Neodiprion lecontei: one gene and its partner. The protein of the gene in region 2 binds, or shares a complex with, the protein of the main gene of each other region. Links are inferred from orthologs where the notes say so. Each region holds a gene or a part of one and is shown on either strand. Other genes may lie near its edges.

Evidence for each region. Proteins that work in one complex are often made in the same cells at the same time.
Region 1: THO complex subunit 3 (region 2) and SAP domain-containing ribonucleoprotein share a complex: the UniProt entries of both Homo sapiens proteins name them as parts of the transcription/export (TREX) complex. The link is inferred for Neodiprion lecontei from reciprocal best matches to the Homo sapiens genes THOC3 and SARNP.

The regions. Positions count from the first base shown.
Region 1 is NC_060263.1:36,078,559-36,084,617, reverse strand, and holds SAP domain-containing ribonucleoprotein, read left to right. Parts: upstream 1-1,925; 5' UTR 1,926-2,112; coding exon 2,113-2,163; intron 2,164-2,614; coding exon 2,615-2,711; intron 2,712-2,827; coding exon 2,828-2,889; intron 2,890-3,067; coding exon 3,068-3,298; intron 3,299-3,465; coding exon 3,466-3,594; intron 3,595-3,687; coding exon 3,688-3,759; intron 3,760-3,843; coding exon 3,844-3,939; 3' UTR 3,940-4,639; coding exon of another isoform or gene 4,640-4,795; 3' UTR 4,796-5,043; coding exon of another isoform or gene 5,044-5,227; 3' UTR 5,228-5,458; downstream 5,459-6,059. Other genes in the region: male-specific lethal 1 homolog, read right to left, coding at 1-130; formylglycine-generating enzyme, read right to left, coding at 4,640-4,795, 5,044-5,227, 5,470-5,644, 5,740-6,059. UniProt on the Homo sapiens protein: Binds both single-stranded and double-stranded DNA with higher affinity for the single-stranded form. Specifically binds to scaffold/matrix attachment region DNA. Also binds single-stranded RNA. Enhances RNA unwinding activity of DDX39A.
Region 2 is NC_060260.1:14,298,833-14,305,800, reverse strand, and holds THO complex subunit 3, read right to left. Parts: upstream 5,283-6,968; 5' UTR 5,236-5,282; coding exon 5,020-5,235; intron 4,403-5,019; coding exon 3,620-4,402; 3' UTR 539-3,619; downstream 1-538. Other genes in the region: isocitrate dehydrogenase [NAD] subunit beta, mitochondrial, read left to right, coding at 53-283. UniProt on the Homo sapiens protein: Component of the THO subcomplex of the TREX complex which is thought to couple mRNA transcription, processing and nuclear export, and which specifically associates with spliced mRNA and not with unspliced pre-mRNA.

The DNA of each region.
Region 1 (6,059 bases), on a different chromosome or scaffold from region 2:
CCATGTTGTATGCCGCACGAGCCGCGGCCGCGTTAACTCCACTAGCCGTAGTTCCAGGTGCCGTAAGCAGTTCCCGAAAATCCACGCTCCCAGTGTTTTCACCATTTATTACTGGCGAGGTGTTTGACATTTTCCCTCCGTGACAACCTCGTTAAGAACTTTCCTGATCATTTGTGGCCGCAGTGAGCGTACCACGCGCCCAACCACACTCATTAAACAATCTTACGTAGACTCCGATGATCTTTTCACTCTACAAAATAGACAAACTCTCACGATATCACCCTCAATTTTAACCCTGGCTCGAGATGTTTACTGACAAAACTCTGCCGACGGCGTTCTCACAGTAGAGACACCAAGCGTACGCGGCTCGAAATACTCCAACGATTTCCCGCCATTGCAACCACGTGATTTCCGTACCCGTCAATCACGGCTGGCCCCGTTTATTTGAATTCATCCGACGAGATTCTTCCCGCTCTCCACGTTTACGAATAATCGTAACGAATGGACAACCTATTCGATGCATTAATCAAGCTGTTGGAAGCTCGGACGAAAAAAATACTCCGGATATGCCTTTCAATAGAAATTTTACAGCAAGGTAAATCTACAACTGCTGAGAAGGATGTTCACTGATAGCTTCGCATAGAGTGCAGCACATTCCAGATCATCAGTCTTTAGCGCGATGTTTTTTATTAATCAAATATGCCGTACTTTAATGAGTAATTATTAAAGTCATTACTATATACATATAAGACTCAATTACTACAATTCATGCGGAAATATTACGTTTACAAGACAGCTATATTATAATGAAATGCGAATTTCAATTCGATATCGATGCCGAGGAACGGTCTCAAGATACGTTCCGCTTGATCTGTGATTGTGGTTGTGAATTGGAGCAGCATTTTCGTTTATTTCGTTTGTCGCGTCACGTACATAAACCGTTGTCCTTTGAGACTGTGTCTCGTCTTAGCTCGCCAATTCCTAATGCGACGCCGCCGACCAGTGTGGATGTCGTGTGACATGGGTTCAGCTAAGGTTACGTAAAAAGCGTGCCGATGAAACGCTTTGTCGTAATTCTCGAGCGAATTTTTGGCGGCTTGTGTAAACATCATATTAATGTTATGTAGAACTTAGTTTATCAAAAAATATCAGAAAATTGACGTTCACCGTGTGGACGGATCTGCACCTGGCGTTGTATTATAACGGCAAGAGATTAAAGAGTTAATAAATAAATAAATCGGCACGACACTTGCGGTTGGAACTTTTATCGCCACAAATAGTTGTGGGTGTAATAATTTTCATTGACTGTCATCTCACTCCAAATTATAGACCAAATGATTTACTCTGTTCATCCGTGCCTTACGTGACTTTCATGTAGCAGTAAATCAGTGCTGTTTTGTGAATATAGCGAGTGAATTCGCAGGCACGATCAATGCAATACGTGCAACCTTAGTTGAAAATACATAATCATTAGAACTGATTCACTCTTTCGATTTTTCAATTCGATTTCCGTTCGAGATATTGCTTTTCGAATAACTTTTGCAATTACCAATGATGAAATATCTATCGCAGATTTCAAATCTCAAATTATCTTATTTACATTGCTGAGAGATGGCCTAAATTTATTTTTCAATCAACCGCCAGATGCGCCAGAGAAAAGCCCGACGTTTCTAAATGTTACAGTGTTTTTGTTTTGAGCTTCCGAAAAACATTGATTTTGGCAATTAGAATCTTCGTAACAGACCCGGTACTACAAGGAAAATAGATTTCACTTGAAAAACTGAAACGAGGTTAATTTCCGTTGGTCAGTATGGAGTACGGCATTGCCATACGGAAATTCAGTCAAGCCGGAAAGCGCGCCACCGATAAAACAGGGCTGAATCAGTGTGGCTAAATGCCACTGGTCGAGACTGGCGGGATCAGCGTGACTATATTTCGCCATTGTTCCTCCGGTCTTTCGTATCCTCTTACATTTCACAGTTACGAACTGTGATTACGAATTTCGGTTGGCTTGCTCTGTTGCGTTTACCTGTACCAAAACTCTGTGATAAATGAGATAAAATACGAAAAGTTTTGCCGCTTGTGAAAATTAGTAATTAAAAATAATTCATTATGGCTGATTCTTCTTACGAGAAAGGATTAACCGAGTTATCCAAGATGAAGGTATGCGCATACATTAGCACTGTTTCATGCGGCGATTGTGTATTTAATATTTACGTTAACCTCAACGAATCCAACCATCTTATTGCACCCTGAATGATTATATTTTGGAGAAAGTTTACTTTGAGTTCTGTCATTCGAATAGTAATATGTTTTAACTTTCATATATGAAACCATCGTCATCCCGAAAGTTGTCAAATTGCTGAACACGTTTTGCTTCGAAGGTGCACTAATCAAACTTGAAAAATTCTAGTAATTCAAGTCTCAAAGATCTTTTACTGTAAAAAAGGGTACTGTTATCCTTTATGGATTGAACTGTGTCAGGTTTTATTTATAACGTTGATTATAGATTCTTCGAAATTTGAATACAATTTTCCAACCTCTCGATAGTTGAGAGGTACTTAATTATAGCAGGGAATAATTTTGATGCATCAATTGATGACATTCATTACAGGTAGCAGATTTAAAGTTGGAGTTGAAGCAACGAGGACTGCCCACGACTGGAAATAAAACCGAGCTGGTAGAACGACTTCAATTAGCAATGCATGGAGGTAGGATTATGAAAATGCAAACCATAATCGTTAGCTTAATTACAGGATACCCAGGATTAATGAATTGCATTAAATAATACTCAATATTTGACAGCCACCGATATTTTGTTTCACAGATTCGACTTTATCACTTGACGAGACTACGGATGAAATATTAGATGAGGATGCTGTTCTCGGAGTAAGTTATATTTTTACGTCCTTTTAGCTTTCAGAAATATTGATAATATTCCGAATATAAGACTCTGAAATGTATTGGTTTATTATGTTTCTTCACTAAAATAATAATGCATTACCAGGTCTGAATCAAGTTTGTATATCTGTTCCCGTTTTTATAAATGAATGATATGTACCTGTAGGATGAAGAGATAGAGGAACTTTCTAGTAAACCCGACTCACAGGAAGTGGGCAAAAAGCGAAAATTGTCAACAGAAAGTAACTCAGCGAATTCCAAAAAAATAGTACTGAATCGTAATCCAATTCTCGAAGATATCCAAAGTGAGCTAACTGGAAAAGAGAATAATAATAAATCAGATACAAGTGAACCTGAAAAGAAGGTTATCAAACTTTCTCAACTGGGCGTTAAGGAGGTAAAAATGATAACTACACGTTTTTTGTGATTGTCACATACCTGCATTTTCAACTGAAATTCACAGCTTCTAAATATCTTCATCTATTGCACTTGTTAAAAAATAATTAATTTTGCAAATTTTATACTCCATCCATCCACCATCTGATAATTATCGTTTTTGAACAGAGACTGGAAATGAGAGCTAAGAAATTTGGTGTCCCTCTATCTGAGTCTGCAAAGAAAGAAGCTAGGTCGGCCAGGTTTAATTCAAACACGCAGAATAGTAAGTCAGCAGCATCTATAAACGTTCCAGTGGTAAGTTTTGAACAAAATCAGCTTGACAGTTAGATTCGTGGAACACTTATAACTTGGGGATGATATTAAAATCTCGTGAATAATTAATTTCAGCATACGACCTTTGAGGTGCTGAAAAAGAGAGCTGAAAGGTTCGGCGCTTCGGTTTCTAGTGTGATGGAAAAAGTATGTGTCAGTTTTTTAATCAATGCAGTGTATCAGTTACTGTGAAATGCCTTTAAAATGAATCATATAATTTATTGTTTATAGGCTGAAATGGAGTCAAGAATAGAAAAGAGGCGAGCGAGATTTGGTGAGGTTAAGCCGATTGAAAAACCCATAAAAAAAATTAAGATAGTAAAATGATACTCGATATCATACACTCAAACAATACTTTAGGTTAAGGTTATTTTAAGAAATTCTTTTTCAATGAAACCAATAGTCAAACAGTCATTAAAAAGTAGACGAAATTTTCAATATTCAATATGGATCGAAAATATTTACATTTTTTGATTAATCAATTTCTAATAGAGTATTTTACTTATAAATTAAAAAAAAATAAAAACATCAAATCAAATTATAGCATTGGTAATTTTTTCATTGCCAAACATTATTGATGTATAATTCCAAAATTATGGAATCTCTGAAAATAAATTCTAGTAATAGGAAATGAAGTCCAGAGGCTCCTATAAAATCAAAATAACCTGCTGATCGCTGTCACAAAAATGTGCTTGCGTTGAATGAAACATTGATAATAGATTGGGAATTTCTGAAAAATTTATTACCATTTTTCCATACGTACAGTTTACCTGAGGTTACAATCACAATCTACTTAAATCTGTATCTCGAGCTCCAAAAATCGTGTTCGTAATTTCTGAGGAATAATGTAAACCCTTCATATTTCGAAATGATTCTTTACACACGTATACTAAACGTCAAACATTATTCTGGAAGACTTGGACCTGGCTTAAAAATAGAATCAAAACTTTGATAAAAATTTATCCAATCATGCGTATGTGTACCAGTATTTACAAAATATTTTAACCTAAGTACAATTCAGATATTGCTAAATCGACATAGCACATCTGAAGCCGAGATTGCCAGCAGAAGTATCAGGTGTGTTTTGACTGCGCGCAGCGCACCTGTATCTGTAACAGTAACTCTCATGACACAGATATGAGCCTCCTTTTTTAACTTTGTCTGTACCACTTGACGGTCCGACCTACAAAATTTTGACTGATCATGAATTTGAGAAATTTAACTACAATTATTACATGGAATGTAGGTGCTTGGCATAAACTATTAAGAATACCAGTACTCGAAATTGTGTATCTTGACTTAGGACAATCATTTAGCAATAAATCATAGCTTTTTTGAGAGTTTTTTTCAATTGCAACATTCCTGTGTTAGAATAGAATTCATTTTTGCAAGGGTATTGGGTGTATGTTATCACAGGAAAGTTATACTTACAGGATTTTTTGCAGGTTTATCACTGTGTTCAGTTACCCACCAATCGGAAGTCCATTCCCAGACATTTCCAACCATATTATAAAGTCCGTAACCATTTGGTGGAAATTCTGTGATTGGTGCTGTCCCCACAAATCCATCTTCAGCACTATTATTGCTAGGAAAAACTCCTTGCCAAATGTTGGTCCTGCACGGAAAAAGTAAATTAAAATTCTATACTAGTAATAAGATTAAAGAAATAATTGATAAGTAACATGTTTCTTAACAGAATCATATAAATGTGTTGTGCGTATTTTGTCAAAAAAAAAAAGAAGAATAATCAAGCAATTGTCAATGATTTTTCATTTAAAAATGAATGTGCGTCGCCGAATTTGAGGATGTAATGAAATAAAAATTAATCGAACAATCGTAATTCCAATACTAGCTTACCTGTGTTGATTCTTTGGAGTGAGGCGGTTACCCCAAGGAAAAAGACGTTCAGTTACAAGTCCGCCTCTGCACGCAACTTCCCATTCAGATTCCGTAGGCAGTCGTTTGCCTCGCCATTTACAAAAAGCTGTGGCATCGTTCCAAGAGACGTGAATCACAGGATGGTCCATTCTGTCTGTCATAGAGAACGTGTTTAAGATTGTGATGATCGAAGCGCGTCTACTTCTCACCAATTTTCTTGGACTACCTATGTATAGAAGAAAACCTCACCCAGTATGTCGGAATCAGGACCTTCAGGATGACGCCAGTTACAGTCTTTGACCGGTAGCCACCAAGGTGCCTGAGCAACCGCCTCGTTTATCTTAGACTTTGTTTCCTCGCTCAATAATCCCTCAAACACAAAAGAATCCCCAAATTTTTCAGCCTCTGTTCGATGCCCCGTAGCCTTGGCAAACTCCTCGAAATCTCTGTTGCTAACTTCGTAAACATCAATGTAGAAATCGTCCAGAGTTACGTTTCGTCTTGGACCCTCACCGTCGGCCACGAATATCGGTTGGTTTGTACCGACGGCAAAGGTGCCCGAATTTATC
Region 2 (6,968 bases):
TAAAGAATTCATAATGAAATTGTCATTGATGTTCTTTACTTTTAATTTACAGGGTGCGCGTCACACGTATTCAGAGGCTGTGGGTAAAAATGTGGCAAATCCCACTGCCATGCTTTTATGTTCTGTCAAACTTCTAAATCACGTTAATTTACGAACTTATGCAGAACAGATCAGAGACGCTATTAATCGTGTATTGAACGATGGAAAAGTCCGCACCAAGGACTTGGGTGGACAAAGTTCTGCAACTGATTTCACAAAGGCGATTATTTACAGCCTCCGTTAGTTTGATATTAAATTTTGTTTAATATTACAGGACAACCTAGACCTCGCAGCACTTTACACGCATTTAAAGCTGCGAAAAGATATTGCAAGTTTGATATTGATCGAATATTAATGACATAGTTTGTGCATAGCATAAATATTCTCGCTTATATGTGTAACTTGTGCTCATTATTCAATAGATTAGGTCACTTTGTAAAGTATTATTGTAATATTAGAAAGGAATGTTGATAAGTCTAGGTTGATTTTCAATATGCAATATTTGTACATAACTATCAACTGATTATGTGATATTCGGTCAAAAACATAGATCTTTGACTTGGAATATTCATGAGACAGAGAATGCATGATCAAGATCTTTGCTTCTATAGTGCATTATTCAATTAATACAGTATTGTCGATTACCTTGTGATTAATACTAGGAAAACCAGAAGTGATGGAGTAGTAATTTTGTCAATAGGTAAATAATTGGTATAGTCCAATTTTAGATGAACACTGTTAACATACGTGAATTGTACAAATAATAAATTATTGTATATCCGATTTAAATTACTGTTTGTTTGTCGGTACTTATGTACAAAACGTTGACAACTCGTACCTCAATGCTGAAAAAGCGATCCAATGTAAACAGTCTACTAGTTTTGCAATCCTTAGTATCCTTCCTTGCCAAAGTTGAAAGCTGAACACGCTCTAGGGAATATGCAGCAATATATTTATTATATAATTATGCATAAAAGCAAAGGCCCGAGTACGGATTATATAGGTATGCAACACGTGACAAAATTTTCGATGGTACTTCATTTTGATTGTCACAATCTGCATTCTTTTCCACTCAATACCTATAAAATAGATCATTCAGAAATTCTTAAAAGATCATTTTTCCAGTTGATCTAATATCTTACCATGATTTACTGCAAGAAACGCCTTTGCCGAGTCCACTAAAACCACCAAGGATTTTTTGCTTTATTGGTAAGGCAAGTCAAAACATCTGAGTAAATTTTCCTTTTCTAAATGATGAATTTGAGCATTCTATCTTTAGAACATGTTTCAACTATTTTAGCCGTACTAGCAATTAGTGAGACTAGTTGATATTTTCCTAGTCTCATTCTTTGGTTCAATACTTTTATTATCTACTAATATTTTTTTGAATACTGTTGGAAAGTATCTCCCCTGCATATGCCATTTATTATTTTCACCAGTGGCCATGTGGTATAGATATGACTTTATACACATAGGGTTTTACCTAGTTTTAATTTCTCTATCATACTATATTCTAATACTACAATGAACACTAATTATTACTTCATTGTTAACAAGATCCAGTAACGTAAACTGCTCGACCTTGTCTTGTTTGACCGGTACTTCTCTTATCGATATTCTACCTTCAAGTTTTTGCACACATTCACAAAATATTTGCTAAAGCTATCTGCAGTATTTTTTTTTTCTACTACAGTTTTATGCTATCCAGAAATTGAAAGTATACTCCTAATATGAAATTTACTATTTACGTTCTTCCATAACACCCTACTTGTTCCAACTAGGTATGCGATCATTTTTGGATTTATTTTATTTTTTTCTATAAATTAATTTACACAGTTTATAATTCTTTTGATTTTTTATTCGAACTGCACTATTCACGTTTATGGCATCCTTAAAAATCTTGTCCCTTACGTTAACTAACATCAGTATCCCTATGGTGACAGACTTTTTTTCTTTGTGTAGTGGGATTCAATGGCTTTCTAAATTTCTCTAAGTTCCTTTGCTTCTCCAATTACAAATGTCACATTTGTATGAACATCATTTTGTCATTTTATCTCTATTCTCTTGTCGCAAAAGTGTTCTCCTTTGTTCTTTTACCATCTGTTTCAAGGTTTTGTAAAAGTATTTAGTGCATCTTTCAGTTTTGAGAATATAGACAAATGTTTTCCAACGTGGATTTTCAATACCATGGCTAATATGTCACCAACGTACTGCCTCATACAAACAAAGTAGTGATTGATGCAGGCGGAAGTTAGTTGTGTTACTCTTGTTGGCTTGTCCACCATGGGTATAAACCTCTGGCCACAAAGTACTTCAAAGTATTCTGGTAAAAGACTGTTTTGGTTCAACAAATTCATATTTATGTCGCCCGTCAGTACTATTTCAGTGTTTTGTATTTTTTTTTGGATCCTTCAGATCTGTGTCAAGACAGCCATGCGGTTCTTGTGTAAGTAGATTGCTATTCATCCGTGTTAATTTAGTTGATTTATAAAGTACAATTAATAGCATATTTTGGATTTTCACAACTTTTACTTAATATCACAATACGTTTCCGTTTATTGTATCTTGATTACAGCTGATTGAGTAATTGCTTAGGAAGTATGAACTCAGCGTTTCGATAATCAAGGTTTTACAGCAAATCATTATATCTAGGTGTTAATAGTTTTCGTACAGAAATCCCTCTGATTCTTCAAAATCTTTATCGATATTTCGAGTTTGTAGTTGCTGTGCTTCGAGCCATTCACTAGTTTGTAACAATTACAGCTCTCAGACCTGCTGGCATGCTTTTACGCATAGGAGTAGCACTATGATTGTATTCACTGTACTAGTAACATCTACTCATATTTATGTATTCGTATACTTAGTATCTATCTCACACAATGCAAGCAGAACTTTGTGTTAATTTTATATACATCCCTGGTGAGACTACCGCAAACACAGGTGTAAAATACGGATGATGGAAAGACGGATTTTCAATTTTCTTCAATGTGACCCACCATCTGAATAAGCATATAAAAATAATGTGATACAGAACGTTGAGAGAGGGTGTTCAAAATTTTGTTGATTTGTCAGACTCATGTGTTTTCAAACTAATTTTTTATACATTCGAACTAGTGTAATCAATACTTTCTCGTGAGCTTCAAATTGTTTATAGTAAAAACTGAAAAGAAAAAAACAGTAAGCTTACAGAAGGATCAGTTTAGAGTAGAGGCAATATTCATATTCTTATCTGGCTTTGCATTTGTAAGAAAAGTAATTGACACGTCTCAAATTACAGAATATTCAGATATATGGAGAACATACAGGCATGTACAGTGCTATTGAGGTAATGAACATAGCATTAAACCAAAATAACCCACTACAAAAGCTTCCCTCTTCAACAAATATTGATCAAAATTGCATATGAATTTTAAAATCATCTTAGAGCATTAGGTGTAGAGAGTACTATTTTATCGTGCTATAATGTTATATGTATCATGTAAAGGTATCACACATGAGATCTAACAAAAACGTCATTGTCAAATAAAAATCCCATTTAAAGAAAGTTGACGAAAAGCAGTCAATATGGTAAAATCCAATTTTATTCGCTTGAAAACCCAAAAACTTTCAAGCTTCCAGCATCCCTTTTTCGATCGTAAGTGTCTTTATCGTCACACGCATATGCCAATAAATATTGTTTTGGATGCCACGCCACCGTAAATGTTGCAGCTTCGACCGGTATATCGGCAACTTTTTCTCCCGTTTCTACCTCTCCAATGTCTATGACCAAGTCTTCAGAAGCAGCTGCTAGGAGTTGCCCATCATGAGAGAATGAAATGGTTCTAACAGGCCATTCCAATCGAGAAAATGTCCTTAGGCAACATAATTCATCAGCATCCCACAGAGACACTAAAGCATCAGCTGACCCTGTTGCGAAGTAACGACCAGTAGGGTCAAATTCAATGCAAATGCATGTCCCTGGATGAGCTTTGATTACATGCAGTAGTTCTAGGTCCGGATAGCTTAGAATATGAACACATCCCTGACCATTTGTAAGATAAAATGTGTCCGAATCTTTGTTCCAAGATATTTCATTGACTTCAAAGTTGAATTGTTCCTCGGCACGAATTTTCATTACTCTTGCATCAATGAATGTCACTAAATCCTCCTTGTTGCCAACTGCTATTGTGTTACCATCAGGCGACCAAGATATATTGATGTTTTCACCCCGTGTCGCAATATTTGCTGTGCATTTTTGAGATCTTGTGTCCCAAATACGCATGGTTTTATCTCCACTTGCAGTTGATAGTAGCTCAGGGTGAAATGAGTGCCAACATAATTGATCCACGCTTCCTCCATGTCCGCGGAACGTTGTCTCTTGTTTCTAGAACAAAGGTTTTTGTATTTATACAAAATGCTTTTATATTGTTTTTAAGTGTGTATTGCATGGAGCTTGTATTTGTAAATTTTTTCACTTTATGGGTTCCATGGATCATAAATATACTTGTATAGTTAATTCCACAATTTATCACCTGCATTGAATAATAACTCTATATTGTAGTTAAATTGAATACATATATTGCATCAAATTTATGAGATTGAAGGTGGTAACAAAATATTTCAGAAAAAATCGCTAGCTTGCAACTTTAGAATTGCTCAAAATGCGATGAATGGAAAATTTTATTTATTCATTTATCAACGACAGTAATTTGCAAATAACGAATTTCGAATCAGAAACGAAAACGTTTCTGTCACAGATTTTTATGAGAAATATATTGTTAGCCTATGAAGCAATAGTCGTGGATGACCCTGTATACCTAAAAACTTTCGATTTATATCAAAATGTTATAAAAATACTGACTCTAATGAGTCAAAATAAGATGACTCTTCATGCGGTCAGTGAAGAGTAAGCACAACATAGTCTTAAACTGCAGAGGTTCATTAAAGTATATCAAATTTATAATACATAAACACGTAAACGCACAGCGAGCTTTTACTCACCAAACGATCGGTTCCAAGAGAAAAAATACAAACACACTTGTCGAACGAGCCGGACGCCAGTAGTCTCCCGTCACAGCTCCAGCCAACGCTGTGTACCTTCGCTGAGTGGCTTTGTTGCTCTTTGATTTTGTTATGTGTTTTAAAATAACTTGTCAACTCGTCGACCCGGCTATTCGACGCTGCCATGTTTATTTGACACAGCTGACCGCACAGCATTGCCAACCTATCAGGCGAACAATTCTTTGAATGGCGCCAAAACAATTCTTTAAAATTCTTCGGGAACCCAGTAAACTTTGACTGAAGATTACAAAGACAGTTACCCCTGGGGTCCCTGGGTAAATTTTTGTGTATTAGTTTTCGGATGGCTTTCGGCGGGCAAGTGTGCCCAAGTGGGCCTGGGAGCGTAGGAGGTTTCTGCTCTATCGACTCTACGTAACGGGCTCGTACCGACATTTGTAGCAGCCAAAGTATGGTCGGTATGAAAGCTTAAGATTGAGACGGTACGAAGTGAGTACGTAAAACTACGTAGCGACTGTAAATGTTAGTACCATAACTTTATCGACACAGTCATTATTTTATTCCAATAATACGGACGGATATGCCTTTTCAATGTGACATAATTTTCCTAAAATCGCTTGCCCTCATTGATCTGTATTCGACCATAATGTCTTGCAGAATTACATACAACGAATTATTTTAAGACATGAAAAGTTGTCATAATTATCGAAATAATTATATTTATTACAATCATTATATAAAAACAACAGTTTCGATTCCTGGCTCCGTCGTTAATTTTTCAAATCACCAAAAATTTTCGAATTACATTCTCTAGCATTTTTCTTTCCGCTAAAATAGATATAACGTATTTTCATATCACTTCATAGACGGCCGGGACCGTCTTACGTGGCTTTTAACAAGTAGTGTCATATACTTGTAAACATGTCACATGTATACAAAGATCTATAATTGTGATTTTTGAGACGAATTTCATAATACATATTTATTATTAATTCCTTATTCATCTGAATTGTATGATAAAATAGATCATGCAATAGATTGTGACGTAAATACTTCAAACTTATAATTGTGATTACTGTTTTGTACATTGATGACGTACTTGTGTTGTCAGTTATTAGCTACGCATTTGCTCACAAGGATTTCCAGGGGACGCCACGAGGAGGCCAACTGACATTGCTCCCCCCCCCCCCCCCCCCCATAGGTCGATCAGCTCGATCATCCCCGTGAGGAGATGCGAAACCGCGACTTAATTAATAACATCGATCAGTTCGATCATCTTCGTAAAGAGACGCGAAACCGCGACTTGGTCAATCAGCTCGATCATCTCCGTGAGGAGATGCGAACCCGCGACATAGTAAATTTAGTCTATAGTTACAAAAATTCTATACGCGCTGCATAGGTTTCTCAACTTTTGAGTATAGATTTTAACGCGGATAAAGTTGTAAACAAGCTGTCGACGATGAAGATCGCATGTTTCGTGTTCAAACCACCCACTACACCTAATTTGGTTCACAGCGGCTTTCATGTAAGGGAAGAGCTCATCTTCGATATCATATTCTCCCCTGATTTTCGGATAACCTACATCGAAAGCCGCGTTTATCAAGTTGACACAAACGAAAATTCCGTTGTTGCTACGCGCAAGTTTCCGAAATCGTTTTCCTCTTTCGTTTCGTATTAATCGTTCTCGATTAATTCTCGATTAATTCTCGAGAAATTATATCAATTTATTAAGCTTAATTACTCGGAAACGGCTTGTCTGACAAAAATCTATAATCAGACCTTTTTTGTAGAAAATTTAATTTTATAAAGGGATAAGTGAACATAAATTTTTTCACTTCAATATTTCGACAGTTCTGACGTAAAACATGAAATTATTACTAACAATCAAAAATAGCGATGAATGTAAGCGTAAAGAATATTTTGCGAAGTTA